Caenorhabditis elegans: one gene and its partners. The protein of the gene in region 1 interacts with the protein of each later gene in a pairwise test. Each region holds a gene or a part of one and is shown on either strand. Other genes may lie near its edges. The genes, in order: nck-1, bcl-11, F43B10.1 and smim-14.

The links.
Region 2: the proteins of nck-1 (region 1) and bcl-11 interact in a two-hybrid assay, tested with the Caenorhabditis elegans proteins (one large-scale study listed by BioGRID).
Region 3: the proteins of nck-1 (region 1) and F43B10.1 interact in a two-hybrid assay, tested with the Caenorhabditis elegans proteins (one large-scale study listed by BioGRID).
Region 4: the proteins of nck-1 (region 1) and smim-14 interact in a two-hybrid assay, tested with the Caenorhabditis elegans proteins (one large-scale study listed by BioGRID).

Annotation. Positions count from the first base shown.
Region 1 is NC_003284.9:4,146,788-4,155,572, reverse strand, and holds nck-1 (NCK (Non-Catalytic region of tyrosine Kinase) adaptor protein family), read left to right. Parts: upstream 1-2,129; 5' UTR 2,130-2,153; coding exon 2,154-2,270; intron 2,271-2,898; coding exon 2,899-3,030; intron 3,031-4,815; coding exon 4,816-4,893; intron 4,894-4,950; coding exon 4,951-5,265; intron 5,266-5,306; coding exon 5,307-5,477; intron 5,478-5,546; coding exon 5,547-5,732; intron 5,733-6,312; coding exon 6,313-6,507; 3' UTR 6,508-6,920; downstream 6,921-8,785. Other genes in the region: ZK470.2 (Growth-regulating factor), read right to left, coding at 8,351-8,455, 8,555-8,785.
Region 2 is NC_003283.11:6,353,201-6,362,756, forward strand, and holds the start of bcl-11 (C2H2-type domain-containing protein), read left to right. Parts: upstream 1-2,824; 5' UTR 2,825-2,834; intron 2,835-3,272; 5' UTR 3,273-3,372; intron 3,373-3,421; 5' UTR 3,422-3,516; coding exon 3,517-3,543; intron 3,544-4,257; exon of another isoform or gene 4,258-4,408; coding exon of another isoform or gene 4,409-4,423; intron 4,424-4,474; coding exon 4,475-4,580; intron 4,581-4,627; coding exon 4,628-4,672; intron 4,673-4,762; exon of another isoform or gene 4,763-4,904; intron 4,905-5,190; coding exon 5,191-5,405; intron 5,406-5,535; coding exon 5,536-5,637; intron 5,638-5,944; coding exon 5,945-6,026; intron 6,027-6,085; exon of another isoform or gene 6,086-6,230; intron 6,231-6,290; exon of another isoform or gene 6,291-6,650; intron 6,651-6,877; coding exon 6,878-7,601; intron 7,602-7,652; coding exon 7,653-8,128; intron 8,129-8,178; coding exon 8,179-8,450; intron 8,451-8,500; coding exon 8,501-8,536; 3' UTR 8,537-9,556.
Region 3 is NC_003284.9:16,650,376-16,657,030, reverse strand, and holds the start of F43B10.1 (EF-hand domain-containing protein), read left to right. Parts: upstream 1-2,519; 5' UTR 2,520-2,547; coding exon 2,548-4,911; intron 4,912-6,655.
Region 4 is NC_003281.10:3,466,324-3,472,564, reverse strand, and holds smim-14 (Small integral membrane protein 14), read left to right. Parts: upstream 1-2,818; 5' UTR 2,819-2,821; coding exon 2,822-2,884; intron 2,885-3,312; coding exon 3,313-3,516; intron 3,517-4,574; coding exon 4,575-4,613; 3' UTR 4,614-4,904; downstream 4,905-6,241. Other genes in the region: rsu-1 (Ras suppressor protein 1), read right to left, coding at 1-2, 469-556; pph-6 (Serine/threonine-protein phosphatase 6 catalytic subunit), read right to left, coding at 5,587-5,729.

The DNA of each region.
Region 1 (8,785 bases):
AAAAGTGGCTTCTAACAATTTTCCTACAGGCGCCTACTTCATTTTTAACAACATGCACCTATTTGTATTACAAACACCCATTCTTCTGATATCTTATTCATCCATGATTCATACTCACTGGTAAATTGAAAAGACTCTGTGTTTCCATGTGAACAGAATAGTGAATAGAGTGAGTAAGGGAAAGTGAGAGAAAAGACAGAATAATTGGTAATGGTTGAACGTTGTTATTGTTGTTGTGTCCCTCCGTCCACTTCTTCTACTTTTCTTCGTCTTCAGCTGCTGCTAATACCCGCGCTGGTTGGTGACGGGGGGCCCCCCTAGATATTTATTCTCCGATGACCAGATTGCTAAGTGTCCCTTAAAGGATCATCTTGTTGTTATTTTCAATTCCCAAGTAAATCCTTCATCTATCCCCCCACAAACCATCTCGTCGTTCCAGTCTGAGATTTGAGCCAGATTCGCAAATTTTCCGCACATTATTTTGGCAATCCGTCTTCAATCTTTTCTCTCTTTTCTCCGCATTCCAATGCATTATTTCGGCCCCTGTTGGCCCCCATTCAAAACCGAAAATTCCCATCATTTGTCATTGACTCTTGTCCTGTCCGAAAATGTGTGTGTGTGTGTGTGTGTGTGTGTGTGTGTGTGCTACGAAGAAAACGATGGGGCTCTTCCAACAATTGTTGCCTACAATTGTCGGTTGTTTTTCCTCTGCTTTTTGTTTCTTTTTTTCTTCTTTTCTTCTTTTGCAAAATGGAGCATAGTCAATTACGTTTCTGGTTTGAAAAGGAAAATTCCAAAAAATTAAAATTTTAATATGAAAATCTGTATTTCTAAAATTACTTAATTGTGGAATTTAATACAATTTGGAGTCTCGTCAGTAAGAAATGTATTCAAACGCTCCTGTTGTTCTTTTTCTAAGTGTGGCAGTTTAATGTGTTGACTGAAATTTTAAAAATTCTAAAAATTCTAGGCCATATTGAACTACGATGGGTATTCTTTTTCGACAAGCAGGTATATTATAAGGCATTTTCTTTTATAATATAATTCAACCAAGTATCAAAAAATCAAAATTTAAATTAAAAACGGTATATAAGTATATAAGTTTGTAGGAGACCCTAAAAAAATTAATTTCAAATTAAAACTTTCATCATATTTCCAGAGCTTGAAAAAAGTTATTCTAGATTTGTAGGAAAAAGAGGTCTGAAAAATATATAACAACTTAACTTTAGCACTTTTGGGGGTAACATTAAATCCAGAAGTATCAATATATTTTCAATAAAGGCCTTACAATCCTAACTAAAACTTTCCCCATTTGCGTGATTTTCCCCATTTGGAAATGCTTACAGGCGCAAATAAAATTTGCCTGAAACCTGATTTTGCACTTTCAGAGGAAATGTGGGGTTTCCTATTGGTACTTTGGCTGGAAGTAATTATATGCCAAAGCCAGGCATCTGAATTATTTCCATTTTCCCATTGAGCCATTCGAAAGTGCACCCGTCTTGCTGAAAAATTCAAAGGCATCCTGACTCATAAGTACATCTGCCCAACTACTGCAGTTATTTTCTCGCTTGACGCCTTCTAACAAAATCCTGCTTACCTCGCCAACTTTTTATGACTATATTCATGTGTTTGCTAACTCCATAAAATAGTATTATTGAATAGGCAATGCTGCCCGCGTTATGCTACTTATTATTCACATCTCACCTTTTTCATTCTTCTTTTTTTGTCATACTTGATACGGCTGTGTGCTAATCTGAAAAAAAAAAGATTTTTGATACTAACTATAAGTTTAATATTTTTCATAACTTTCGAATCAATAAAAAAACTTTCCGGAACCCGTTCATGACACGCTTTGACCTACCAACATCCAACAGCCTAACTGACTTCTGAACAGATTGACATTGACCGATATATCCTAGAAAAATGTGGCGTACGTCGTCAGTGCGCCTTCTTTTTCTTTTTTCCGCTCACTAATGTTGATTTTATCAGGTGTAGGTGTAGTGAGGAGGTAGAATAGACGACGTCAATTACGAGTTGCGTATCCATCCCCTATTCATTTCATTTTCCCACTTGTTCTCCTCGGTTTTTTGCTATGGATTCGCAATTTTTCTCACCAAACCACTTTACAGGGTGTATTACATCGGACATTTGAAATGTCGGAGGACTATGTGGTCGTCAAATACGATTATTTAGCACAAGAGGAACAGGAGTTGACGATAAAAAAGAACGAACGGTTAAAGCTGTTAGATGATAGCAAAAACTGGTGGAAAGTGAGTTTTTATTGACGGAAAACATACTGAAACTAATGGTTAAATGTGAAAACAGTTTGATCCACTTTTCGAGAACTCTAAAACACTGTCGCATGTTCAATTCCCTGCTATATTGAAATTTTAATGTTTTAAGCATAATTAGAACATTAAAATAAGAGAAATTTATTTTAATCAACGACTTTTTGGGGAAATCTACATATTAGTAAGTTCTCACCACTTTTTGACTCGAAATAAAAATGTTCCAAAATTTTTTGAACAGTTTTCTATAATATTTGGTTATTTTAGCATCATATATAAATTTACAATTTTCTCTTTTCATTAAACATCCAGAAAAATTTATAATTTTTTCAAAATTTTCAGTCAACGTTTTGGTCGACCATATTTTGCACATTGACTGCACATTAAAATATTTCAAAAAACAATTCTGAAGAGTTTCATTATGATTGTTGGTCATTTTAGCAACATTTAAACAAAGCTTGCACTGACATTGCTCCACATCTCAAAAAAAAATCCTGGTACCAATTAGCAAAACTACTAATCAAAAAGTGTTCTACAAACCTTAATTTTTTTAAAAATAAATTGAGCCACTTAACGTTGTTTTCCCTCGGATCAAAACCGTTTTCTTCAGGTAATGAACGATTCAAACAGTGTTGGATTTGTGCCTTCAAACTACGTGCGAAAAGAATCAATTGTGGACAAAGCAAAAGGAACAATCAAGGGCTTAGCGCGAGGTCGCAACCGATCCTCAGATCCGGAGCCGGTGAGTGTTTCGTTTTGTTTTTTTTTGTTACAAAAACCCATCTCACTTCCAAAAAAAGCGCCAAACTGCCGCCACAACTAAACGAAACATAATCGACTGTAATGTCGCACTCTCAGTTTTTTTTTGTTTCCAAATGCCAAAACCAGTCTTCACGTGGAAGATTTGTATTTACACAAGCGCTTCCAGCCGAAAGCAACAGTTTGAATTAACTTCTAATTAGAATTGCCAACAGATACTTTATTTCTTTTAATTTTAAGGTACATTAAAACTAGTTTTGATATACTAACTTTCTTCCCAGAACATTCCAGTTTTGTTTCCTTATCATACAGCAAACAAAATCGATTTTTTGCTCCGTTTGTAATGCCATAAAAGTTTCTAGAATGATTTGTCATATTGGGGCAGGAATATTTCTCGTTGTCGGTTTTTTTATTGCAATTTTTATGAAACTAACTAATAGCATTTACAAATTTAAAGTTAATTATTTTAAATATTGTAGCTTCCATTAAAAATTGATATAATAGCCCAAATTCTAGTAAAAAATGATTTTGTCATCACCACAATAACTAATTGAGTGTTTTGCGCGTAAGATACTGCGCATCGTCTGAACTAACAAACTCTTCTTCCCCTGTTTTCCCAGGATTATTGATTGCTCGAGACCGTCCAAAAAGACCTCGCCGCGCGTTCTCCCGTTCTCCTCGCCGTTTTGACAGGTTCGTCTGTTTTTTGCGTTTTCCTTCCTCCACATAAAATACTTTTTTTGCTTTTCTTCTTCTCAATATCAAAACGGCACGCTCAATTTTTCGAATCATATTTTCGAATCGAAATATGCTGAACTTTGTGAGGCAAAAACTCCGTAATAAATGACCGAAACCGTTAATATTTGCATGTGTGTGCAAGCGGCGCATACTATCATTGCCCTGTTATCACACACACACACATACATACGGCTCTCCCGCGACAATGTATTCGGCGCAAATGAGACAGTCTCGGTATACAAGAGCGCGCGAAATTTCAACGCTTCCTATGTTTTTCCGTCTTGACGATACGTTTCAATCGCCTGAGGGCCCCTCCCGCTCTTCACCCCCTAACCAAAATCGTGTTTCGATGTGTGGGGCGCTGCATGCACATTGCCTACGAGCTCAACCGCTCACTTTGTTTGCATTTCTGACTGAAGGTAGCGGGTTGAGTCTGTGCTGCTGCTACTGGCCACGTAGCGCCTCCAAAAAAAAACTTGGAATTTCCGGCTTCATCAAATTTGTTTTTTTTTTCGCCGTTTAAGATCACGTTTCTAATTAAACTGTGAGCTTTCTAGGCGGGAAGAGCACTTCCTTATCGATTTTTCTCGTGCCATAAGACCTCCTTGCAATAAACATCTGCGTCGTCCCTCTAACTTGCCGAACTTAATACTTGTGTTAGAGCCCTACATTTTTTTTAAATAAATTTATTTGAAGTGAAAATTTTATTTTTGAATTTTGAGGCTTTTTGATTAGGATAGTATATTTTCTAATGTAAGCCAAAAAAAAAAGAGATTTCACATAACGATACACTATTTCTTTTGTGTTAGAACTCTACATTTTTTATAAAGTCAATTTATTTAAAGTGAAAATTTTATTTTTTTGGAAATTTTGGAAAATTGAAATTTTTTAGACTCCAGATGAACAAATTTCGTAATGAGAAAAATGGTTTTAAAATTTCTATGGCGCTTCAAAATTTTGAAAAAAAGCTCAATTTAAGCGAAAATCTCTAATTTTAGTACTTTTTTTGTTGTTGAAATTGATTTTTCAGGAGGAGCGATTAAACGGCATCGCGCGTCTAGCGTTCAGCTTGAATAACAACTGTGCGGTGACACCATCATCCAATAAGGTTTGACAGGCTTTTCAATCATAACTTATTTTAATCCGCCAACGTTTTTTTCTTCAGATTCCTATGATGAGCTCGAAAACGAAAGCTGTGGTGAAATTCACTTACGAGCCAAGACTTGAAGATGAGCTCGGTCTCACAAAAGGAGATTTCGTTTATGTCGTCGAGAAAAGCACAGATGGGTGGTGGAAGGGAGAAGCACCGAATGGAGGAGTCGGATGGTTCCCGTCAAACTATGTGGAGGAAGTTGAAGCTTCGACAAACGGAAATCAGGGAAGCATTGAGAACCGAAACCCAGCAGCTGCAGCAGTTCCAGCGCCCATAATGATGCAAGCACCACCGCCGAAGCTCCAGGCGTCACGGTCTTCATTTGAAGTAGGATTTACCCCAATGCAATTTAATAATCATTTTCATAGATTCAGGTCGTCGTTGCATTGTACTCGTTCGACGCATCATCATCTGAAGAACTATCGTTCAAAAAAGGAGAACGGCTCGAAATCGTGGATCATCCAGAACATGACCCCGATTGGTGGATGGCGCGCAACGCCAGTGGAACCACAGGGCTTGTGCCAAGAAATTACATTGAGGTAGTGCATTTAATCGCCTAAAAATTCCGAGAAAAATTGCCCGAATCTGAAACAATTAGAACATTTCAGGTGGTCAACGACTCATCATCCAGCAAAGCTTCACATCAAGATTTCGCACCGCAATATTCAGGAAACGGAGAAATTCCGATGGAGCAACAGCCGTGGTATTTTGGACGCATCTCGAGGGAACGTGCTGAAGATCTTCTACTACATGGTCGTGAGGGAGAGTTTCTGGTCAGAGATTCGGAGAGCAATGTGAGCATTTTTTGGAATTTTTCAAACGGTGTCTTTCCAAATAGTCGCAAGCTTTCAACCATTCCTAGCAACTTTAGAAATGCCAATTTCAGAAGTTGCAAAAGTTGGTTGAGAAGTTGTGGGATACTAAAGTTGTTCAAACAGTTGCCAAAGTTGGTGAAGTATAGTCACAAAGTTGCTAATATTGGTTTTAAAACTAAAATCGACGAATAAGGAGATTCAAGTTGTTTAAGAAGTTGTTAAATTTAGTTTTATTTTAAACTTAGTGCAAAAAAAATCCAAAAGAATGAAGGCTGGCAAGAGGCTACAATTAGTTTAAAAATGGCAGCAAATGACCGAGATACTACGAAATTAATTACCAAAATCAAGGACCGCAAAGGAAAAAAAAACGTTCTAGCGTTTGATTTGAACATTTTCACTCCAAACTATATATTACAGTTAATACGCTTTCATTCTGATCAGAATACAATCTAAATTAAAATCAATCTTCATTGACAGTATCCCATTTGAATATTGCTAGGAAGACAATACCAAAAATGGATATTTTCAACCATTTAATATTAAATTCAATTTTTTTCAGCCTGGAGACTTGTCGATCTCAATGCGCGGAATCGAACGCAACAAGCATTTCAAAGTGCAAAACGTGGATGGTCTCCTGAAAATTGGAAACCGAACGTTTGTGGACATGAATGCTCTTATCAATCACTACACAACCAGCCCAATTTTCTCGTCGCCAACGGAGAAGCTGTTTTTGACCGGTCCTCTTCCCAAGTAAACTACTTGTTCAAAATTTCAATGCAATATTCTTATAAGCTCATTCTTAACAATTGTTGTTTTCTTGTCTTCTTTGCAGCAATCCATTTTTTTTCTGGACAAAGCAAGTGAAAATCTCTTTCGTCATTTCTATCACTAGCCCTGTGTTTAGATATGTTTACTGATTTGCCATCCGCCGTTTTTGATAAATTGAACGGTTGATCACGGTTTCAGATATATTTCTCATTTTTTCTTTGGTTCTTTTTCTTTTCATTCAAGTTTGTAATTTTATCAAATAATTGTCCTTAACTCACACTTTCCATTCATCTCTTCTTCAATTGTCTTTTGCTCCACTTCACAACGCTGCGTTGTTTCAGAATATTATTTTCAATTCCAATTGCCATATGTGATAACTGTAAATGAATTTTCAAGTGGGCATATTTCAGATTTTTTTAATTGTTACAATTTTTCAGGTTTCAATTTTTGTACAACGCGATTTCCGGATGTGAAATGAAACATGACATTATTGAAGGTTTTTATAAATATTTTTTAGAGTATCCGAAATTCTTCACATTTTTGTTGTTAAAATTTTAAATTTATCATAAATTCAAAATTGGAGTTTTTTTGCCAATTATAATTTAAAAAATTGACCAAAAAAGCTTTTAACAATTTTTTACTTTGTAGCGGTCTGAAACTGTGGAAATGCTTTACATTTCTTAAATTTGCCAAAATTTTAATTAACACATTTTGAAATAAAACTTTTAAACAAATTTACCAACATTTTTCTAGCGGTTTAAATTTTTGAAAACAAGGTTAATAACTTTTATTTGATTGTGGTTTTAATTGTAAACTGGCAATTCATCTCAAATTATTTTGTGGTAGCAAACTTGTAAATTTGCAAACAAGCTAATTTGTTAATCGGCAAAAAAAATTGAAAATTAATAGGTGGTAGTTTTATTGTTTATATTATTAATTTTATAATGTTTTATATTTATAGTTGGTAGCGTTTTTTAGATGTTCGGCAAATATGGCAATTCGACAGTTTTAACTCAAAATTCAAGTATTGGTATTATCTCTAACTGAACATTTTTTTTAGAATATTCTCAAATTGAGATTTTCTTTTTTATAACATAAGGCAAAAAGTAACTACGCGTGTGTTTGTATCAACGTTTTCTCCGTCATTAAAGGCTGTTGATCATTTTCTGACACTTTCTACATTGAACATGTCTGACAAGTTTGCATGTGTTCGGGGAATAAAATATGTATTATTTTGGTTTCAAATTGGAGAATCAAAACATGAAGGAGACATAAAAAGAGCAGATGAGGTGATTGGTGTGCGGTTGGATTATACATATGACAGGTGAAGAATACCTGGTGCTACCCCCAGACCCGTGCGAAGTAATAATAATTCGGGTTATCCTAAAGTGGATAGCATCACAAAGAGGAAAATCGAAAAAAATGGGATTCGTCCTAAAACAGTGGGTAACGAATATTTCAAAACAAAGAAAAAAAGAAAAAAAAACAGAGATTTCCTCTTTTACCAATGGGTCTCTTCACACTCGTAAGTCAGTAGCAATATGGGGAACGCAAAACGGCAACGGTGTGACCTGAGACACATGGTAAGATGGTCTGGTTAGGTATGCAGGATGGACGATTGGGAACAGTGATCATTAGTAATGTCTCATTCTTTTTGCCCTCTCAGGAGATCTGGGTAGGGTCGAGTTAAAGTTAAGGGAAGGAAATTTTGAAAATAGTAGGCGGGGGGGGGGGGGGGGGGGGCAATAAGACAAGGAAGGTTAACATGGAAGAAAATGATTTTTGTGTGATGCAAGTGGCAGAGAGTAAAGATCCAATAGGTGAATCTTCTAACGATCAAGAGCCATCAAGTAACGGTAGTTTTCCTCTTCGGTGCGCTCGACTGGCTTCGAGAAGAATCCACGGTGGAAGACTCCTCCGAACAAGGCAGCTCCCTGAAATATTAGAAATTTGAATATTAGAAACATAAACACGCTTCCAGTTTTTAGTTTCCAAGTTGCCATAAATTTTTTTGTAATTTCAAAACTACTAACCCTTGATCCTGGAGCTGGAGTTGTGACTGGCGCACTTGTTGGTGCTGGAGCAGAAGCAGTGCTTGACGATTGAGAAAGGGTTTGAGCAAAATTATTCTGCTGTTGTGGCATGGTTGCAGTAGCGACGGACATTCCTTGTTGCTTATTATCCAGATTGCTCATAACCAAGCCGCCCTGTTGTGCTTGCGAAAATGGTTGGAGGTTCGAGAAGCTGGTCTTGCGGCTGTTGTC
Region 2 (9,556 bases), on another chromosome or scaffold:
AGGGATTTCCTATGTTTCTTCGTGATATTTTCTGCTCTCGTCTTCACTTTTCTTCGCTCTCCAACCGTTCAAAAACACGTACTTTCTCTTTTCAGATTTCGCCTTCTACAGCCACAGCTGACAGCTTTTACTTGCCCACTCTCACTACTGAAAACGAAAGGGATGCCAAAGCTTTCACCAATCATTTTCTACCGTCCACATATACATCTTCCTTCTTATGCTTCCTCTCTCATCGAATGCCGACCAGTCTCCTGCTGCATGTGTGGTGTGCCTCATCACCATCTAGTTCTAGATTTCGCTCCTATGGCCATCCACTTTTGCCTCACTGCCATCGTCGTCGCTTGCGTAATCCTTCGTTTGTTACTGTCGCGATATGTATCGTCGCCGTCCCACCCATCATCCTCCTCCCTCCTCTTCCCTTCGCTTTCATTTTTTTCCTGTGTGTCCCATTCACTTTCCGCCAATCCTCACTTCACTTTCTCTGCCCATCGGATGAGATGGATGTTGAGGTTTTCCTGGTGACGTGAGGCAAACGCCTTCCTGATCGGTCGGTGCCTCTGCCAGTTGCATCCTGTATTCTGCACAAGCTTCGTGAGGTGTCCTGGCGGTGCATGTTTTCTCCTCCTATTCCTATTTTCACTTGGACGTTCTGTTAGTCTGGGTGCATTATATCTTTATATCCTATCGTATTCGTTCTACTCAAACTCTATTACAATTTAGGTGTTGAAATGTTAATTTCAATTTTTGTTTTGTTCTAATTTATTTTTGCCTCTCTCATTTGAGAAAACTTTCTTAAAATACTTTCTGTTTACGTCATTTTAAAGTGAACTTCTGTATGTGAATATTCCTAGACTTTTTTAAAAGTTACATTCATCTTTTCTGATTGTTTCCATATATTCTAGCCAATACTTTTCCACCATCTTCTATCCTCCTCATTGCTTAATTTTACAACTATTTTTCACCGTTGACACAACCTGCCACCTCCACCACCACTATATCACAAACATCTCTTTTTTGGTGGTGGGTATACTGTAATCCACCGGTTCGTCAATAGTACATGATAGAGAGACCGCCGCGCCACTTCTGGCATCCCTCTTCCACCGGACCTGATCTGGGCAGCTTGAGAGAGTGTGTGGATCAGAGAGACGGGGAGAAGCTTTGCTTTCGCTAGGTGATGCATTGCGCAAGATGACGCTTTCACTGCTTTCGCTTAACGTCTTCACTTATTCAATCTCATCCCTTATCCCGTCCTCCCTTTCGTTGATGTTTCTTCGCGTAACCTGCCCCCTGTACGTCAAAAGCCAATGACCAGTCGCTGCCTGGCATCTATTGCGCAACTTGTGTGCATACAAATATTGTGCTCTTCCGCGCGGAAAAGTGAGGGCGCGAAAGATTAGAGTGGCGTCCACGTGTACGAGCAGGGCGCAGGGCTCTCCCACTGTGTCTGGCCATTTTTTTGGGTTTTTGATCCTCATGTTACACTGAACTCGGAATCTTGCAAAATTATGCTTTGAACTGTAGCAGGTGCACGAACCGCCTAAGCCAGCCTCGCCAGTGGGTTCATAACTTTGGAAAGGGTCCTCAAACAGAAAACCTAAAGAAATAATATTTCCGTTCCCGTTCCATGACCATCGAGAAGAAATAACATACAATCACATAGAAACCTCGACCTGTGTAAAATACCAGTTACGGTCAAGATGACCAAAAATGACCGTATTGTGATGGCCGTCTCCGGTCTTCTATCTCTCGAGAATAGATAGAGAGGGACAGAGAGAGAGACCACGACGACCTGAATTTTGAATGGAATCTCAGGTGTATTTGTGAGTGAATTGTGTGTATGTGTCCCTCGCCCAAAAACTTTTTAGACAGAATGAGAGAATCCCCCCACATGTTTCACTGTCTCTCGATCTACTTTGTTTTCTGCGCCCATTTTCCTAGGTAAGAGTATCTCCTCTCACGTCTTCTTTGACAGTTCTTTTGTTGGTCACATGTGACGTGGCACACTATTTCTCAGCAGTTCCAGAACTCTTGTATACATTGTTACTGTCTTCTTTCTCCCCCTCACATGTGCATCTTTCTTCCCCGTTTTCAGCGGCGCCCAGCGCCATGAAACCGTTCTTCGCGTCTCGCAGTCTGCAACTCACGTTCTCTAGTCTTCTCTCTGCTCCGCTTTTTGAATATAAAAGCGAAATAATAAAAAGTGACTGTGTGGCTTGTGTATGTGTGTGTGTGTGCGTGTGTGCGTGAGGCCCTTCCGTCGTCTCCGATCACTTTCCTTCTCTCTGTGTCTTCTGGAAGCGCACACATTTCTACACTTCCAGATCAAGGTGGGCGCGGAAACGGAGAGAACTGTTTGCGCAGCTTTTCGCGTCACTTTCCGTGTGTGCTGCCAAGAGGGGACAGAATGAAACCCCGCCGATGATTCCTCTGGCATCACGCATTTTTTTATTGCAATGTATGCTCTTAGCTCGACGTCACACGGAAATGGGCGGATCCTTCCGCGCGCGCGGATCGTCTGCCCACTGTGTACCGCGGCGCCAGCATGTTTCAACGAGACATGAGTACTTGCACTTTTTTGCCACAGACACCCTAGGGCTTACGCTCCCACACCGCCTCATATTGTCCGGCAAAAAAGGACGCGGTGGGTGGCCGGCAGCTTCTCTTCTTTCACTCCAACTCTTCAGTTTATCTTCTGTTCTCTTTTTTTCGAAACTTTAGCTGAAATTTGTATTTTTTTAAATTAATTTTTCTAGTTCTTCAACTTCTTCTTTTCCGATGTTGCTCCCTTGCCTTTCCAATTTACAATTTGCATCCCAAACTTTCGACCCCAAGTTTCAGTTTTTTCGCCTTTCGTAATTCCACACTTCGTTTTTTGCCTCTTATCAACAGTTATTTCTATTGTCTTTCGCATGTCCATCGGTTTCCAGATCAACACCTAAAAAAAGAAACATATGATACCGCTTTTAGCATCGGCGGTTCTATTTTTAGCATCATGTGCTCTGAAATTTTGGGAAATTTTCCATTGTCTCTGGCGCCGGACGCCATATACCTTATCAGTAGTGACCATTTTTTACTACGTTGTCTTTCTTTCTGATTTTTTGATGCCTGGAGCACTAGGCATTACGCAATCAATACCCTTTGATAACAACGCCGACAGTTGCTGTCAATGTTTCTTTTTGTGCTTCTTCTCGTTGTTCGGCCGTTCTCTTTTCTCTTTTTTTCTCTTCTCCGACTTTTGTTTAGTATCTTATTTTATTAATTTTCTTCATTACAGTGTACCCTAACCTCCAGCTCTACGTTACGCGCGGCAGCACATATTCCTGCGTGTTTCGAAAATTTAAAAATTGATGTTTTATGTGTCTTGACAATAAAGTAAGTTTGAGCCAAAGTAATGAAAAGTCTATAACCAAAGTGATTTCAGGATCATCTAACTTCAGTTATTGGATACCAAACCATATTTAGTGGGCAGCGCTTTTACACAAAATTTCCCGGTTGAAAGTGAAAGAGCGACTTCACATGAGTAGTGGACGTTCAAAATCACAGGTAATTTTGGGATTCAAGTTTCTGTGTCGGCATTGAGGTTCAAATCTCTAAGAGCAGTAAATCCTTATCAGTTCGAGAGCCGCGTGACAAACTCAACTTCCAGCCTTTCGTCCTTTTTGCAAAAACCTATTCTTTTGTTCCTAGGTTTTGAGGGGCGGGGCCGATAAACTTTTGTTATCAGCGTGACAGTCTGGAAGGACACAATGACAAAGGGGCGTCCGTTTTTGGACACACAACTTGGTCCATTGTCAGTTATCATTTTTTCAAAATTTCTGAAATATTTCGAAACATGCTTTACACTAATGAGCTTTTGCTCAGTTCCAGAATTATCAAAGTGAGTTTAAAAATTATTTACAGCCCAGTTTTACTCTAGCTTACTTTTTGAAAATTATTTAAATCTGTATTGAAGACTTGTATTTCTTAATCTTAAATTTTGAAATGACTCACTAACTTTTCGTTACTTTTTTGTGCCGACTCCTCATCTCTGACAAAAGGCAGGTCAAAGTGAATGAACGGCCAAATTCTAAATGTTCAACCAACAAAAAAACGTGTCTCCCCAGTCGTTCTTTCCAAGTCTCGACCAATCGGCCTTCTCCTGGCAAAAGAGTATTTGCTCTAGTTATATTGTGTCTCTGATGCCCCCGAGTACTGTACACATACACTGTAACCTCGCGCCCCGGCGCTACGCCCCTCTGCCAAGTCATATGCTCTCTCTCACCTGCGACGAGAGCTCATTTTCCACGCAAACTTCTGCGACCCACCTTACATTCAATAATTTTGAAATCCAAGTGACCCTTGAAACATTTGATATTCTCAATTTGAAAACAGTGTGGCCTAAATCTGAAAATATTATCTGACAAAAATTATGCTACATCTACCGGTAAAGCAAAATTACTATCAGATTCCAATTTACGATCTCTTGTACTTTCAGACAATAGAAACGTCTTCGGCGGGGCGTCGGCGGAGGAAGGCGAACAGTGAAGTTGATAGCGGAGCTGAGGAGCCGACAGCCACAAGCAGTAGTGACGATAAAAGTGGTTTGTGTCCATTTTCTCATGCCTTCCGTAATTTGTATATTTTTCAGACTATCGTCTTGATTTGAAGAAACGTCTCACCACATTTTTAACCAGTAAGTTTTCCCTTCTTCTATTGAATTTTCGCGTTTCCCAATATTTTCGCAATGCACAATCGTTCCTTCCCATGCCGCACCTAGTTGATTTGATCATCATATCAATGACTGGACGTTTGATCACACGTGTTACGTCACACGCGGCGCTTGCGCCAAAATGTGTCTTCCGCGCGGAAAGCGACCGCAAACATTTGATCAGATCGACGACAATGCAAATATTCTCACAAAAAACCACAAAGTGCGCCATTGGCAACACGGTGAATGTTCATTTCCACACACACACAAAAAAACACATACTATAACAGAAAAAAACTGTCAAGAAAGGGAATGGCAAAGAGTTATGTAGACAAAGTTGACATATGACACGACCTAGTTTTTTTTTGCCTCCATCCAACTTTGCCAACAGTTGTAGACCATCATGATCATCACATCGCAAAAATCTAGTCTTGAAGAGTTGGAGAAAGCTTTGCAATATTTGAGTAATTTTTCGTGAGCACAAACATTTCATTTTCTTTCAGGTAACTCTCAGATGGCCTCATCGGATTCGGGGGTTTCTGGTGTCGAATCAACAGTTGAGCATGACTTGAGTGAATTGAAAGCATCGGATTCTCCGATGTCCCATGACGGAGCAGATTCGCCCAGACCAGAACTTGACCGGACGGATATTGTAGTATGTGGAGAATGTCATACAAGTTTCTCACTGAGCTGCTTTTCAAATTTCATCGAACACAAAGTAAGTCTTTTTACTTTGTGAGACCTAATGTCACTGTGAATCAAAATCACAATGGCATCATCTTTTAAAATGAAGAAAGCTTCAAAGACTTTCAATATCTAGTGATGTCATTTATATTGTTTCAATTCAGGTGTCAAACTGCGGCGGAAAGCTGACCCCATCGGATGATTGTGAAGTGACACCACGCAACTTCGACCGATCAAGACGAAGAACCTTCAACCCGGCGGCGCTGGTGAGTTGATGGAAAACTATTTTGACCAATATTTACCTAAAGAGCCTTAGCCCCACAGACCTCTGGCGCCCGCAACCCCATGACCAAGAGAGTTAGTCCCCTCTATTCCACGTCTTTTTTGTTTGTTCTGGACATTGAAAAACTGTCGGACGGGGCAGAGAGAGAGTGGCTCTGAAATTCTCCATAGAAGATAGTAGTACCTGTGCAAATAGAGAGACCCACAGGTGAACTGCAGAAAACTCAGCGCCAATGCCATCAACAATATTTTTTTGAAGAGGGAATGCATAGAAATTCGGAATATTTTCAGATCAGATGTGGTCGTTCAACATCAGCAAATGCTCTTCTTCCCAACTACAACATGGACGTAACTACGGACACAAATGACTTAGGTGAGTTGGTCAACTGATCATTGTGCAAAGAGCCCGCAAATGTTTGAACGTCCTTCTAGTACATGCACTTCCCGGACTTTAAGTCGGAGCCCTTTTGTAGTAGGCGCTTTGAGTAGGTAACTTCCAACTCTACTTTCAGTTTTTGTTTGTCCAGAGGGTTACGGTACTTGAAATTTTTTTCACATTTTGCCATCCATCCCCCGTTGTTTACCGCAGGGCACCGACTTTTTCTTGGCGGTGAGTTGTTGTAGGGTGATCCACAAGACTGTGTGTGCGTGAAGAGACACAGAGTTACCACGTTTGCATAGATAACTGAGATCAGAGAGACGAAGTTTGCCTATGTACCAACGAGTGGACCAGTTTTGACCAGCAATTTGAGAAGAATTTTGTGGGTTGAGACAGGGCGCTGCGCAACGCAACGCACCAACTCACTGCGAGATAGACTCTTGAAACTCGGCGCCTTTCTTTTTCTCGTACGTGAAACTGGGAGCCGAAGGGGGAGAGAATGTGTTTGAATAGAGCATCAATGAATAGAAGAAGGTCGTCAAAGACCGGTCGTTGGCTCGGCGCTCAGGGGTCAGGTTACTTGTGCTACATGTTGATGTTGCCACCACGTCATATCGGCGCCCGTGTGACCGAAAAAGACCATTCAACAATGCAGAAAAAAGTGAACAGTATATAACTACTTTCCGAGAAATTAAGTTTTAGTGTAAACAACTCTAGAGAAGAAGTAATGGCAATAAGTGGAGTCCACAGACTGACCGCGTATTTCCGAAATAGCCACACAATGAGTAATCTAAGTTTATCCAACTGCCATTGCTAAGTTTTGCAAAGATATATACTAATTACAGGGAGCTCTTCGAAGTCACTCACATGTTGCAATTGTAAAGAACGATTTGGAGATGTTTGGACACTTTTGAAACACAGCTACGACATCCATGGCCTGCGAGTATGCCAAGAAGCAATCCCAGAGTCGGATGTTTCGGTTACTTCAACATCTTCTCCAACATCAAATGAGTCAATGCACATGTCTTCAAGATACAACCATAATGACACCTCATCCAAAATCATGCATCAAACCATAAAGTCTGAATCAACAATGATGAATAGTTTTTGCTCAGAACGGCTGAAAGAGATTGTCACAAGAGCTGGAGAACAAGATCAGAAACCACTGATGGCGCTTAGAAGGTTGATGCCAAGTGAGGAAACCGAGGAAGAACAAGTCTCAGCGTTTACCTCAACGTCTCTTCTCAATTCTAGAGCTTCTCAACCGCAACTCCCAACAGTCTCCAGCTCGGCAGGCTTCCAAACTTCTGGATCTATGCCAAATGTCTGGATGCAGCCATCAATGCTAGCTGCTATGCAGGAATATTATGCATCAATTCAACAGATGCCATATCCAATGACAAATAGTACTGCGGTTGCTTTGTTGAATATTTCAAACAACCTTCAACAACAACAGCAACAACAACAACAGCTGCAACAACAGCAACAAAATCTGATCGCCGCTCAACCTCAGGTCGCAACTCCACAACCACCCGCACCGACACCTTTGTTTCAGAGTTTGAACAGATTGTAAGTTTGAATCATAATTGATGAACTAAAAATAACATTTACCCGATTTAGAAGTACCGCTGATGAGTCCTCATACACTCCACGACCTGCATCAGTTGCAATCAGACGACGTGCTTCACCGGAAGAAGAGTTGACACCTCCACGAAAAAGTATGAAAATTGAAGAAGAAGATCAACTGATCGTTGTCGATGATGGTGAGCTTGCTGAGCCAGCTGCTCGCAAGCCAAATAACATCAAGAAGGAGAGATGCAATTTTTGCAATAAGGTGTTCACGAATCGATCAAACCTGATCGTCCATCTCCGATCGCATACTGGAGAGAAGCCTTACAAGTGTCAACTTTGTCCATATGCATGTGCACAAAGCAGTAAACTGACTCGTCACATGAGAACGCATGGGCAACAGGGGAAAGAGACATATCACTGCTACATCTGCCGAATGCCTTTCTCAGTTCATTCTACATTGGAAAAGCATATGAGAAAGTGTGTAGTTAGTACTCAAGGTCGTCGTGAAGGAGGTTCTCCACCAGGTACAATAGTTCCTGAATTATTTTCAAAGAATTCAACAATACATTTTCAGAGCGATCAATTCGTCCAACACCTTCAGCACTTGCCGAGGCAACGTCGCTTTTGGCTCTTTCAGCACCATCAATTTCAGTCCCTCCACAACCTCAAGCTAGCACAGTGGGCCAGAATCAGAGCCAAAGCCATCAAATTGTCCTGAACTGGCTTCATGCTCTCAATGCAAGCAACAGTACGCCTACAGCAACATCGAAAGAAGATATGATTGAGGCTGATGAGGATATGGAAGAGACAGAAGCCAGCGATTTGCAGTCACACCAACCGTTAACAGTACGTCTCGTAGGAGTAATTTAAACCTCAAACTAATACAATAATTTCAGAGTGAATCAAATCAAATTGCTACGGTTGCTAACTAATCATCCAGTATCATCAGTCATTTCTAGCCAGTCATTTAATATTTCTCTCTCAATCCACCTACCTTTCAATCTTTCAAAATACCCTACAACTCGTCTTCTAGTCGCTCGTTTCCATCTAGCATTTCGTTCTTTTTCGCCTCAAATGTTCAGTGTTGTGCTTGTGTTGTCGTCCCGTGTGTGTGTATTTTCTTTCCATATTTCACCCAGTGACCCAGTTCCCTTTTCTCGCCTTGTTTAGTTGTCCGTTTTTTCCCGGTGCCAAAACGCACTCACTATATCCCTATCCCTTGTTTACTTAAGATTTAATCACTTGGTTTAGTGTATTCATTGGTTTCTAAAGCCTTTTTTGTAACCCCCATAGGACTTTCAACAAACAACATGCAAAATAGCCTTTACACGTCTTTTTCTTTCATCCTTAGTGAGTCTCTAGATTGATGTAAACTTTCATCCAACAATCCAAACTCAAAATTCCTTTAGTTTCTTTTAGAACCTACACACACTTTCAGCTCCCCCCAATAGATTGTGATCCCTTCCTCCCAGTTTTCCAGTCAGTCACTGATTATCTAGCCAAGCCTTCCTCAATCCAACTGATTAACATCCAGCTTTAATCTCGCTCTCCTTCAACTTTCAATTGCAGTGAATTGTTCCTCTCTTTCTTCTTTTTTTCTAATAATCCATCAATCGGCATCTCCATCTTCTGAACCCCTAAACTCCAATTCAATCGTCTTTCTGCTACCATTCACTGCTATATTCGATAATTATTCATTTAATCTTTTCTGGCGTCGCCCAGGCAACCATTACTCTTTCGCAGATACCCCCGGTGATTTTGTTGTACAGACCCTGTCCCTTTCCCCCAATTTGTCCCGTGACCTAGTTCTCCCATGGAAGTAGTATTTTTAGTCCGACTGATAGCCCCCTTGTACCATTTATTATACATACATATATATATAAATACGTCCATACCTTCATTTATTCCCTTATTTTATTGCTTTCTCATTCTCTACCAACCTCTTAATATTC
Region 3 (6,655 bases), about 13 Mb from region 1:
AAAAGATTTCATATCCTTCCCCTCTTGTACTTGACAACTGTTTTTCATTGACACTGATATCATCATTGGTCAAAAAGGCTTCAATTTGTAGAGTTAGGAAAAGAAACGTGTAATTATCTTTGGCTTCGCTCCAAAATAAACTTTATATAGAGCATGAGCCGTCTTTCTCTGTTTCTCCCTGCTTTTGTCCTACTCTATCACATAATCATAATCATAGTAGCAATCACATAACTTTTAGACTTGTTTTCATTATTTGTTTTCTTTTTTTTTGGTGGCATTCTTTTTTCTCAAAGATTTATAACAAGTCCTAGTTCTTAGTATCAAATTCTTTTTGAAAATTTTCAACTTTACTTGCCGGGATATTATAAAATGGTCGTTTTTAATTTGATTTTAAAAAAGTAAATTGAAATTTTTTGAATTTTTCTTTTTGATACCATTTAAGATAATTTCTATCCGGAGCAGCATTTTTGATATTTTTTTCCTGAAAATTAAAATGAACAAGATTTTTAATTTGTTGATTTCTGGAGAAAAAATGAAAAAAAATTATGAAATTTAGATTTTAGATTTCAGAAACAAACTTCGATAGATTTTATTCAAATCTGACTGTCAGTTTTTTGGAAAAAAGATTTATTTGAAAGATTTTGCTTGAAATCCTAGAAACCCTGGAAAATCGAGAATCTTTCAACAATAATTTCAACTCCAAACAGAAAAATCGTTGAGTGCTGCCAAAAAATCATACTTGCTTCTCTAATAAATATTTAGATATTTGGAAAATGTATCCTATGAACTCCTAACAAAATGATATCGAATTTTTTCAAATTTTTTTTCAGCTAGATTTGTTTTTAAGAAGAATTCCACTGAAATTTTGAAAAAAAATGACAAAAATTTGCAAAAATTTGAAATAAGATTTTAGGTACTTGTATTCTAATCCCTCATATTAAAAATGAATTTTTAAATAAAAACGTGTCGAGTTTTTGTATTTTTCGGCTTATAAACATTTAATCATTTCTAAGCCTAAACAGGGAAAATGAACATCACGTTTTATCAGAATCGGAAGATAAATGGAAGTTTAATTAATTTTAAAAATGCGGGGTTTTAATGCACAAGTACCAAATTTTGTAAATATATTCGCTCTTGATTATGATTGCTTTTATTCTTTAGATTGTTGCATTGTTTCCAGGATAACTCAGTCTCATAAACTATGTCCTCCAGAAAGTTTTTTACTGAACAAAATGAAACTTGCTTTGGAACTCCATAGGATCAATTCCTTTTTTCAGTCATTTTTCAGCCGCCGTCATCTTCCATTCCTAAACTTCGCTTTTAATATTTCTCCCGTTCAATATAAAAATAGTGAAACGTAAAAGGAATGATGATTAGGTGACCACGGATTGCACTTGACGAGTGCCCGATAATGATACATCGAGAGAGTGAGAGAAAAAGAGCAGGCGATCTAGCGACAGCTGTCGGGGGTCGTCGAAGTGTAGAAGGACGGACCTCTGAAATGAAAGCAAAAACGTATTCCGTCTCTCCTCGAGAAAATATATACTCCATCTCTTTCTCTCCCTCGCTCTCGCCGGGAGCCCCGTCTACCCGCTGTAACAATACCAGTGTTCTATCGGCTCGTCGCCGCTTTCGCCTCGAAAGTCTTCTCGAGGGGCTCGCAATTTATTGGCTTCTAGACCATTCAGCTTCTTCTTCTTCTTCTTTTTCTGCTTTTTCATTTTCTCTTCTTGCTGCTTCGTCTCTTTTTCTTTTTTACCGCCGACGTTCTGGTTGCACTCGCTCACTACTACCTGTCTTTTTTCGCTTGATCATCGTTTCATCTTTTATCCTCCCACTTTTTTTCGTATCCGCTTTTCTAGTTTTTTAGGATCTAGATTTTTGAATAGTGGTTTTGGTTTTTTAGCTTAAAAACTCCGCTCTAAGAGCTCTTTCAACCTTTTTCGTAGAATTAATGTTCAGAATTCTCATCATCATCACCATCTATCGTTCATTCTTTCATCACATCTTCTTTTCCAAATCTTCTTACAAAATATGTCGCTCCTCCTAAAGGAAAAGTTGTTACTATTACTAATCACTTCAATCTGCAGTTTCTGCTGGTTCAGGCCACTCCTATTCTTCTTCTTTTTCGCACTTTCATTTCAATCTATGTTTTCCCACTAATTGCTACCTGCTAGATACTGATCTATTATATAATTCTATTTTAAGTTACCAGTGGGTTCAAGTTCATTTTATAAATAAAAAATGCAATGCAAATAAAAAATTTTTTAAGTAGTATTTTTCCTCTCATTATGAATCAATCCTCCTTCCTCTATTAAATTTGATTATGATCCTATCTTTTTTCCTTTGTTACCTCTCACTCTGCCTCTCAAGTTTGTTTGATTTGTTGCGTTTTTCCATGTTTTTGTGCATTTTTGCTCCAACTTGCTGCCACCTACTCAACAGTTGTCCTGCAAAATATCTCGTTTCTTTGTTCTTCCCCCGCCATTCTTTTAATCTCTCTTCCAATTTCGGACATCTTTCAGTACTTGCGAGAGCAAAGGGTAAATGTACCATCTTGACGACGACTACTTCGCAAGATTCAACCAGCCGTCGTCCTCGTCAGTGCAGTTTCCATCGGAATCGTTACGGTACGGAGGCAGTGGTTTGGCCACTACAACCACGTTTGGTGCTGAAAACGACCCCCAAACTACTCGTTTCCGGTCGCAGTCGGCCGATAATCGAAGATCAGCGTTTCAACATCAGCCGAGAACAATCTCGGAGGATCACATTCCAGAGCCGTGGAATCAAGGACCACTTCGTACTGCTGAAGTGAACTTTCCGTCCCAACAACGAAGACCAGCTTCAACCACGCCCTGGTCGTCACATTCAGAGTACCACTCGTCACATAACCTGTCAGTACCCTCTTCCTTCTCGGAACACCTTCGCGAAAGATCGCCAGCCAGTGGCTCTGCACTTCTCGACTTACTCTCTCGTTACCCGTCTGCACAGCACTCTGTGCAAAACTCACCAGCCGTGCAAGCCTATATCGACAGAATTCACACGGATCGGGCTCCACCGACACGATCGTATACCTATCAATCGTCCGAATCTAACTTTCCACTAATTGAGTATTCAATTCGCCAAGAAGTCCCAAACGGTGTTCGATCGACAACTTCGGTTTATCAAAACGTGGTTCCAAACGGAAACGGATATCCGTCTCAACAAAGAGTGCAAACAACCTTCACCTCGAACGGTCCGGTAACTTCTACTTTTCATCGCGAATACCACAACTCTACCCCGCATCAATATCAGCACTCAAGTTCGCTTGGTGGTCCTCCTCTGCCACTTCCACGAGAGTCGTCATTGCAACAGCAGCAGCAACAGGCGCACCCGTTCGAAAATCGATCTGAGTTTCATCGTCATCCACCGCCGCCGCCGCCGCCATCTTCCTCTTCATCTCATCAATTTTACAACAACGGAGTACCCGCACTCGCCTCAAGTGCGTCGTCCGGAGGTTTTCGTCAACCCGTGTTTCACGACACGGATCAGTTGGATATTATTGCTCAACGTCTCCTTGATGACAACATGAGTCGAAGCACATCAGAATGGAGCAAATCGTTTGAACAGTTGCAGAATCGGTTTCAAAATTTGGAAAGCGATGACTTGTTGAGTCCATCCGCTTTTACGACCACTGGGTCAATGACTTTGCCACGACGTGGAGCACAGCTGCCAATTTCAAAGTCTTCAAGTAACTATGAAATGAATAGTTCGCTTCTTGGAAGAGCGGTTGAACGAAGAGCAGCTGAAGCTCCAGAACAAAGAAAATCCGGAGCATTGGATAATTTCTGGAGTCAAACCATCAGCTCGAGACCTTCTTCGCCAACAATTCAGAGAATTCCAACAAGTTTAACAGCAGCAGAACGACTTCAAATGTTACAAGAACCAATCGACACTGAAAAAAGGTTTACTCAGAGAGTTGGCAGTGGTCAAGGAGTTGCTGCAAGAAAAGCTGAGCTGATGAGAGAACCATCCGTCGAATACACCGAGAAGCCGAGAACTCCATTGAATCCAGCTTTTCCGTCAAATTCTTTCCTAATTCCAAGTTTCAATGAACTGGATAATGCTGTAAATGAACTCTCAAGAACTGTTCGTGGAAATACATTTGGCGGAACAACATTTGGATCCGTGTCACCTGCACCTGTTGTTCACAATGATTCTCTAAACCGACGAGTTGGAGGTTGCGGTAGATTTCCAACAGGTGAACACGCTTTTAGTCCCCCACCAATTGAGGTGTCTAAGTCTCCTGCTTTGTCACTTCACCGGAAGCTGCACTCTCCATCCCCAACAGATGAGGTCAGCGAGAGCTCTTCAGTGTATCAGATTCCAACAGGACTTCCGCATCCAAAACCGAAGCATAATGTGAAAGAACAACTTCATTTAGCTGGAATTCATACTCCTGGCTATCAAATTTCGCGAACCATGTATCGAAACGGACCGAACTTCCCGGTGCCCTCGACCGGAAGTGTTGCCTCTCGGATCACAGAATTCGAAAAACGACCAGGCACTCCCGTTGTGCAACTCTCGACCACAACCGTCAAATACAACGAGCATGTACCAGTTGCGGCGACCGCTAAAGCTGTACCGCAAACCAATGGCAATATGAGTCCACGGAGCGCGGTGTTTCGTGCCAAACCAGTCATTCACGTGGACATGGGCAGCACATATCAGCACTCGTCGCCGACACCGCCAATCCGTCATATTCAAGTGCATTCGGTTCAGAATCAGAATCATCAACCACTGCAAAATCATCAAAACCACCAGTCCTACCTTGGGAAAGAGCAACATAATCACTACCGTCCACAGTATCAGCAGCAGCCAATTAAACAACACGACATTGCGACCCATTCGATTTTCGACTTCAAATCAAACGTGAGTATTTTTTAGTTCTTTTTTTAAATCCTGATCTTCAATTTCTTATGAGACTGTGGGGTTTTGCTTGGCAAAATCTTGTTAGTGTACTTTCAATCATGTGGGAATAGTGCAAACAACCGCGAAAAACTATCGGGGCTTGTGTTCGGAGATGAAAAAGTATTCTGGATCTTGTTTTCGAGAGAAATGACAGTTTTTAGAACGTGTGCTCTATTTTGAGACGATTTTTGATTGCTGTTTCTATTAGTTGGTTTTTTTTTCTCAGACACCAAAAAATACTTACGTCAATCCTGAGAATTGCACCTTTCCAAAGTATAAAATAACATGTTTTTATAACTCCAAATGTAGTTTTTCCCTTATCTCTGTTTAGTTTAGGTGATCATTTCAATGAAATTTTTTTTTCATTAAAATTGTAACTTTCAAATTATTTGTTAAATAATTTCACAACAATTTTCTGCTTTGTTTTTGGACATTTTCGGAAACGAATACACATTTCTATGACGTCCATTCTCAAGAATTCAGTGTAAACACAAGTGTCAATTTTCGCTGAATTTTATTGTTTCAACTTTGCCTTGTTTGTCATGGAATTCCAGAATTTTAATAAAATTCGAAATAGAGTAGTTGAAAAGTACGATTTTTGATTGATTTTCCTATCTCGAGAAAATGTTATTCAATTCACCTTCAATGTTTTTTTATTACTACAAAGTACGCAAAATGATCTCAAAAACCAAATTTGCATAATGATAATACTTGAAATGTTTAAAAAAAATTCAAGTCCGGTCTGTAAAGGAAAATTGCTCACCTTTGATTCTGTTTTGGAAAAAAAGTTTTTGGAAAAATAATTCTCAACTCAGCTGTTGATTTACGTACATAAATTTTTAATATATCAATTTTTTCTTAGTAATCTCAAATTTCAACTGTTTCTAAGTTTCAAATCGCCATATCATTTTTTAAAAAGCAACAAAATTCTTTAAAAGTCATTTTGAGTATTTCAAAAGTATAAAAAGTGCTTTCAACATCTTCGTTATTAATTCCAATTTGTAATAAAAATTTTCGAAACATCTCAATAAATTATTTAGTTTGACCTTATCACATTCTCCTAATTTTTCAGCAAATATGTATTTAATCCTGTTAAAATTATGATGTTGTTAATCTAATTTGACTTTCTGATCGATTTGTTTTTCCAGGCTAAGCCCCCAAATAATTCAGAATTATTTATTTGGCTTCCCGAATATTTTCGAATACACACACTTATTACCAACGGCTAAAATATCAAATGTTCTCCTTGAATGCACGTGCTGCCGAGCAAAAAAGTACTTTGAACGGATAGCGTGGTGAAATGAGATCACCCAACATGCATTTCTTTTTGTATTAGTCCTTAATCCTATGTAATCCTGAAGAATATGTCAAAATGTTTATTATAATGATTGAATCCGATTTTCCTGTTTTTGTGGGCATTTAAGAATTTATGAATATGAGGCTTCCCCTTAAATGTTTTGAATTTCTGATTTCCAGTCTGTTTTTCCATAGTTTTTTGAGATCGTCAGAAAAAAACTTGTTAAATAGGCCCTGCAAAAAAAGTATCTCAAAAATTGATGTTTATTAAACTGAAAAAAAATGTCGATCTGAAAATTTTCCAGAAAATTATTTTACTAATTTTAAGACACAAAATTAGTTTTTCTTTCAGATTTTTTTTATAGGCAAACTTTTTGAAATGTCTTGAAGATTTTTCAAATTTAAGACT
Region 4 (6,241 bases), on another chromosome or scaffold:
GACTGGAATTCAATTTTTGGAAGATTTCGAAAATTTATCCCGCTTAGGCTTAAGTCTGAGCCTAAGCGTAAGCCTAAGCCTAAGCGTAAGCCTAAGCCTAACATAAGCCTAAGATTGAGCCTAAGCCTAAGCCAAATCCTGAGCCAGCGCCTGCGCCTGCGCCTACGCCTAAACCTAAGTTTAACCCTCAGCCTGAGCCTAAGCCTAGGACTAAGCCTAAGATTGAGCCTAAGCTTAAGCCCAAGCCTGAACCTAAGCCTCAGCCTAAGAAGCAACACATTTATTTTGATCTACAGACCCAATGCACCGTATTTGACGCGCAAATTCTATTTACGATTTTCCCGCGGAGGAGCTGAGCACAGAGCAACAGCTGCTGCTCCGCCAGATCAATTTCTAATGCATACGAAACCATGGAATAATTGAAGATTTGCGCGTCAAATGTGGCGCAGAGCTCAAAAAAATGCTTACTGAGATGTGAAATTTGAGAAAACGACGAAATATTCCGATCGACATGCTCAACCTCTGTCACTTCGTCTTTCTTCTTGTCCTTTGGCATTTTTACCTGAAATTTTAATTTTTTACATCCTTTTTTTGTGGATAGGAAATGGTGCTTCGCGAGTTGATAAACGATAAAATCAGTGTTAAATATGACTATTTTCATACTTTGACATGGTGCATCGACACAAAAATTTGAAGAAATAGCAATTCCAAAGATCTTTTTCACTTTCTCACTTTCTAATCCTCTATTAAATATAATTGCGGAAGAACTAGCAAAAAAATGGGAAAAAAAGGAAACACAGCTGGAATACCATTCAAGGGGATTCCAACGAGATAGTACATGAACCTGTAAAGACACAGAGACATATATTTGTTGAGAGAGGGGACGAAAGACGAAAGAAAAAGAAGAAATGACAGCGAATCGTAGGCGGAATGGACGTGTGTGGGGTGAGATGGGGGGAAAAGGAAAGTGTGTACAGCGAGAGAGTATTACACTGTTGGAGAGACGCAGGGTGCTGGAGACATTTCAGTTTGCCAAGAGAACGATGAGAAGCAGTGAAAAGTTCATTGAGCGATGGGCGGAAGGAGGATCCTCCTTGAGGAGAAGGTTACATTTTTATTGATTGATTTTTTTCGGGCCCATATTGCGATCAATTCTATTTTTTGAAAGGTTTGGGTTTTGTGTGTTTTTTCTAGATTTTCCTATTTTTTAAAGATTTTAAATTTCTAAATTTTAATCTTCGGCATCAAAAAATTTTAGATATTAGATTTACACAAATTTTTTTTTCCTTTTTTCTTATTTTTAATCTAAAAAAACAAATTTTTTCTTCAAAATGTTCGTCTTTTGGTACACCTCTAAAGGGGCACAAGTAAAATCTAAGTGATGGGTCTCGCAACGAACTACTACTAATTTTAAGTTCTTGAGGCGCGCCTTTAAGGTTACTGAAGGCAGCATTTATTGATTTTTAATTATTTTTAATCATTTTGTCTTAAGATGGCAAAAAGCGATAAGAAAAAATTCAGTAGAAAGAGAGAAAAAGGTAAACATTTCGATTGTCTCGTCGTCTTTTTTTTTTGCTTCATTTTCTCTCTTTTTTCACTTTTTAGTTTAAAAAAGCAAAAAAAAAAATTAATTTCCTTCCGTTCAGTGCCCATAAATCCGTTTATGAAACGTCATCAATATCTCTAAGCCCTCTTTTCTCTCTCACAGTATTCCAAATAAACAAAAAAAGATGTCTCTTCCTCCCTGCCAACCAACAGCCAACGTCAGTTTTTAAAATGAAATTTTTTTTTTCTAAAAATTGGCCAAAAAACCGATTTTTAGACTGAAAAAAGGCTTTAATGTCCAAAAATAATCAAAATTATCGATTTTCGACACGCTCGTAAATTAATTAGTCTTGTCAGTTGTCGTCAATTATAATGAATTACATCCCCGAGAAAAAGTAGATCAAAGACCGGTTTATCCCTCCCGACAGATACGGAATGTGTGTCCGCTTCCGATCAAAAGGTTCTCTTTTTCTTATTTTGTAGTCTGTGTGGAGGATACACTTGGTGATTAATTATTATTTATCGGCCTAAAAAATGGTTTTATATTTTTATAATACCCAGACGTGAAATTTTGCGATTTTTGCGCCCCGGGGCTCGACACGACAATTTTCTTATTAATTGCAAAAAAGGTGTACGCCTTTAAAGAGAATTTTCAACAATTTTAATTTTTTTTTTAAATAAAAATATATTTATTTAATGAAATCGAATAAATTTTTAACAATTCGTGACAAAAACTACAAAAAAATCTATGAAAATTCCGTAACTACAACAAAAGTTCAAAATTACAGTACTCTTTAAAGGCACACATTTAAAGTCACATGTATTTGAGAGAAATGTGTCGTGTCGAGACCCTGGTACCGGTACCGTAATCGCAAAATTGGGTAATAATGCTCAAAAATTTTTCAACTCTTCAGCAACATTTTTTGGTAATTTTTTAGAGAAAAAACACAATTTAGGCTAAAATCCGGAAACAACAAAAAACTGGCCGAAATTCTAATTTCACCATTTTTTGCTCTGAAAGCATTATTTTTTCACTTCTTCAAGTCATTAAATTCATGAAAAATGTGCATGGTTTCCCATCACAACCCGTCGTCTCCCAGCTGATTTTTTGTCTGTTTTCTCTCGCAATCTCTCCCCATTGAGCAATATTTTTGTAAGGCAACGTTGCATTGCCCACTTTTTTTTATTTTTTATTATATTTTCCCGTCCACGTTCTCTGTTCGTTTCATTTCTCGATTCTGTGAAGTTCAACGACGGAAACTCGCAATTTCAGAGAATGAGTGATCCGTGTGAATGTTTCTTCGATCATGAATCTGCTATGCAAAGACTTTTGGCTATGGTAAGGGAAATAATTATGGAAATATTCGGGGTTTAGCGCGAAATTTGCCAATACAATTTAAAAAAAACAAATTTTCGGCTCTCGACTCGATAAATTTGATATGAAATGCTAAAAGGTGTGCGCATTTAAAGAGTACTGTAGTTTCAAACGTTTTTCTGTTTTTATCGCTTTCTTCTGGTTCAAAAAATTATTATATTTTTGTCGAAAAACTACTAAAAATCTATGAAAATTCCGCAGCAACTAAACTTTGAAACTACAGTACCCTTTAAAGGCGCACGCCTTTTTCGCAGTTAACAAAAAAATAAAAAATTGTCGTGTCGAGACCCCGACGCACAAAATCACAACATATCGTATCTGAATACCCATTGCAAATCGTCATAAAACTCCAAAAAAAAAAAATGTTTTTGAAAAAAATCAAAATTTTGCAGCTCCGAAACTCGCAAGCGGACTGCACAGATACGGGTTGCGACAATGATGGTTTGAGTCGTGAAGGTGGCAATACAATGATGATGTGGACACTTTTATGGACATTTATGGCAATGGCACTTTACGTGATGAGACCCAATTCAATGAGATCTGATAGAAGAACCGCCGATGATGCAGCAATTGAAAAACCAACTGGAAGTTCTGATGTTAGTATTGTCAAGTTCGGATTTATCACAAGAGCGCAGAAAACCCGCTCCACGGCCAATTTTGGGTCTCGCCACGAAAAATTAAAATTTCGGGTGTGCGCCTTTAAAGTACTACGGTACTTTTTGCACAAGTATCTTAATTTTATTGTATTAGAGAGACGCAGAAAAAATCACCTGTGAAATCGATGTGAAAACACGCTCCACGGCTAAACGTAAAAGCTCCGCTCCCCAACAGTTGGGTCTCGTTAGGAATTTGGCGGGAAAACCGGATTTTCAAATTTTCAAGCAGTTTTCGTTGTTTTTAATGTATTCTCTATCCCAAATCGAAAAAAAAACAATAATTTCGGCATAAAAATCAGCGAAATTCCCAGTTTTTCCGCCAAATTCCTAACGAGACCCAACTGTTTGGGGGCGGAGCGTTTTCAATTGGCAGTGGAGCGCGTTTCTGCGTCTCTAATCTTTTTTTTTTGTGCCCGCCCGGCAATACATTGACCGGTCAATCAGTTATCAGAGACGCGAAAAAAGAAATCATCACCGGGTTTTATAGGTGTTTGTCCTACAGTCTAACTTGAATTTTTGAAAAAAAAAATTAAAAATTTTTTAGGGGATATGGAATACCCAGTTCCTTATTTTGGACTTTATTGCTAAATTGAAAAAAAAACAATTTAAAAATATTCCCTGGAATTTTTGTTTATTTTTTTAGTATTACGTGAACGCAAAATTCAGAGAATACGTATTGCACACCATATTTCACGCGCAAAATATCTCATAGCGAAAACTACAGTAGTCGTTAAAAGGATTACTGTAGTTTTCGCTACGAGATATTTTGAGCGTCAGAACTTTGTGTTTACGCAATATCAACAAAAAAAAACTAGAAAACTTTCAATTTTGGTTCATACGATAGTTTTTTTTTGTTGAAAAAATCGAAAAAAAAAAAACAAAATTTATCGATTTTCAGATTTTTAAATATAAAATTAAACTATTTCAAATTTTAAAATGTTCTAAACTTCTCCTCGGGGAGTACGCGTCCTATAAAATTTTAAAATTCCAATTTCCAGGACAACACGCCACCACCTCCACCGCCATCTGCAATGTAAATCTGAAATCCTCTACCGTCCGTCTTCTGTAACACTCTCCTCTGCCACCAACCATTCCTGTGTATAAATTGAAAAAATCCAGTTTTATTTTTGCAACTGGAATCCTCTGGGTCCTCCTCTTCTATTCATTCATATGCTTTTAATTTTCTCTCCCCTGTGCTTTGGGTATCACAATTTTCGTCTCTCTTTTTTTTTGTCAAATTTTCTGTGAAAATCGCCTACTACTAGTCCCTACCAATTTCTTGTACATTTCCGTCTCTCTGGGAATATGAATGAAGATTCGAGATTATTCGAGAGAGATAATTGTTCACACATTAAAATTAAATTAAGGAATGAGAGAAAGAGAAAGGGGGAACACGACGGAAAAAAGTGAACAGGAGCTGAAAGAAGGAAAAACATGAGAATAAAGTGAAAAATCAGAGAGAGAATACACACAAAATGGGGGAAAATGAAGATCAAGTACACGAGGAACCGAGGCTTTTATAGGGGGTCCACTCCAGACAAAAAACATTAAAATTCAAGATGGAATAGCGTGAATTTGCTTTGAAATAGCAAAAAATGATGAAAATTGACAAAAAAACGATAAAAACCCGGAAAAAATTCAGAAATAATGAAAAATTCATGTTTTTTGCTCAACTTTTGACAAATTTCCCCGGTCATTGGTCGAAAAATGGGCGAAGCTAATCGCTAATTGGTCGAAAAAAAGAATTAACAAGCCTCTGATTGCAGGACCAATCAGCGATTTGCTCCGCCCTTTTTTGACCAATCAGGGGAAAATGTCAAATTTTACGGGAAATTAGCTTGAATTTTATTGTTTTTTGTGGGATTTTTTTGGAATTTCAATTATTTTGGCAGGTTTTTTTTTGGGTTTTTTAAAAAGCGATTTACACTATTCCACCATAAATTTTAAAGAATAATTAAATTATGTAGCTGTGGCGGAAATAGAAATAGGCAGGCAGGTGTGAGGTAATATTTAGAGGAAATACGGAGCAACGACACGATCCGGCTTCTCACGGCTTCCATCGGGAACTGCGTTGAAATATTTCGTCGAGCGATTGTTTCCGTCGATTTCGAATACGGCCGCCGCGTTTCCGCATCGATAGCAGTAGTTTGGAGCTGCAATTTATCCATTTATTTGAAATTTCTTTTTGTAATAACTTTTAAAGCAATTTCAGTTTTTTCAGTTAAAAGTGTTTTATTTTCTTTTTTCTGTTTTTAAATTTTTATCGTTTCCTTTAATCCTTTTTTTTACAGTTTTTTTAAAATCAGTTTCTTTTAGTTTTTTAATAATTTTTTTAGCAATTTCAGTTTTTTTCAGTTGAAAAATAGTTTTTTCTTCTCTTTTTTCAGTTTATTTGAGGTATTTTTCAGTTTTCAAGAAAATTTCCAGCTTGTGCGATTAAAAAAATTTCAGTTTCCAAGTTTTTAAGTTTTTCAGTTTTTTTTCAGTTTTTAATGAAAAAACATTAAAACTTTTTTTCGGAAAAAAGGAGAAATTCTTAAAACCGAGAAAATTTTGTTTTTCGATTTTTTTTTTGAGTTTTTTGAATGAATTTTGATAAATTAGAATTTTTCAAAAAAAGTTCGAAAACGGGAAATTATCGGAAAATTTCCGTTTTTTTTTTCAA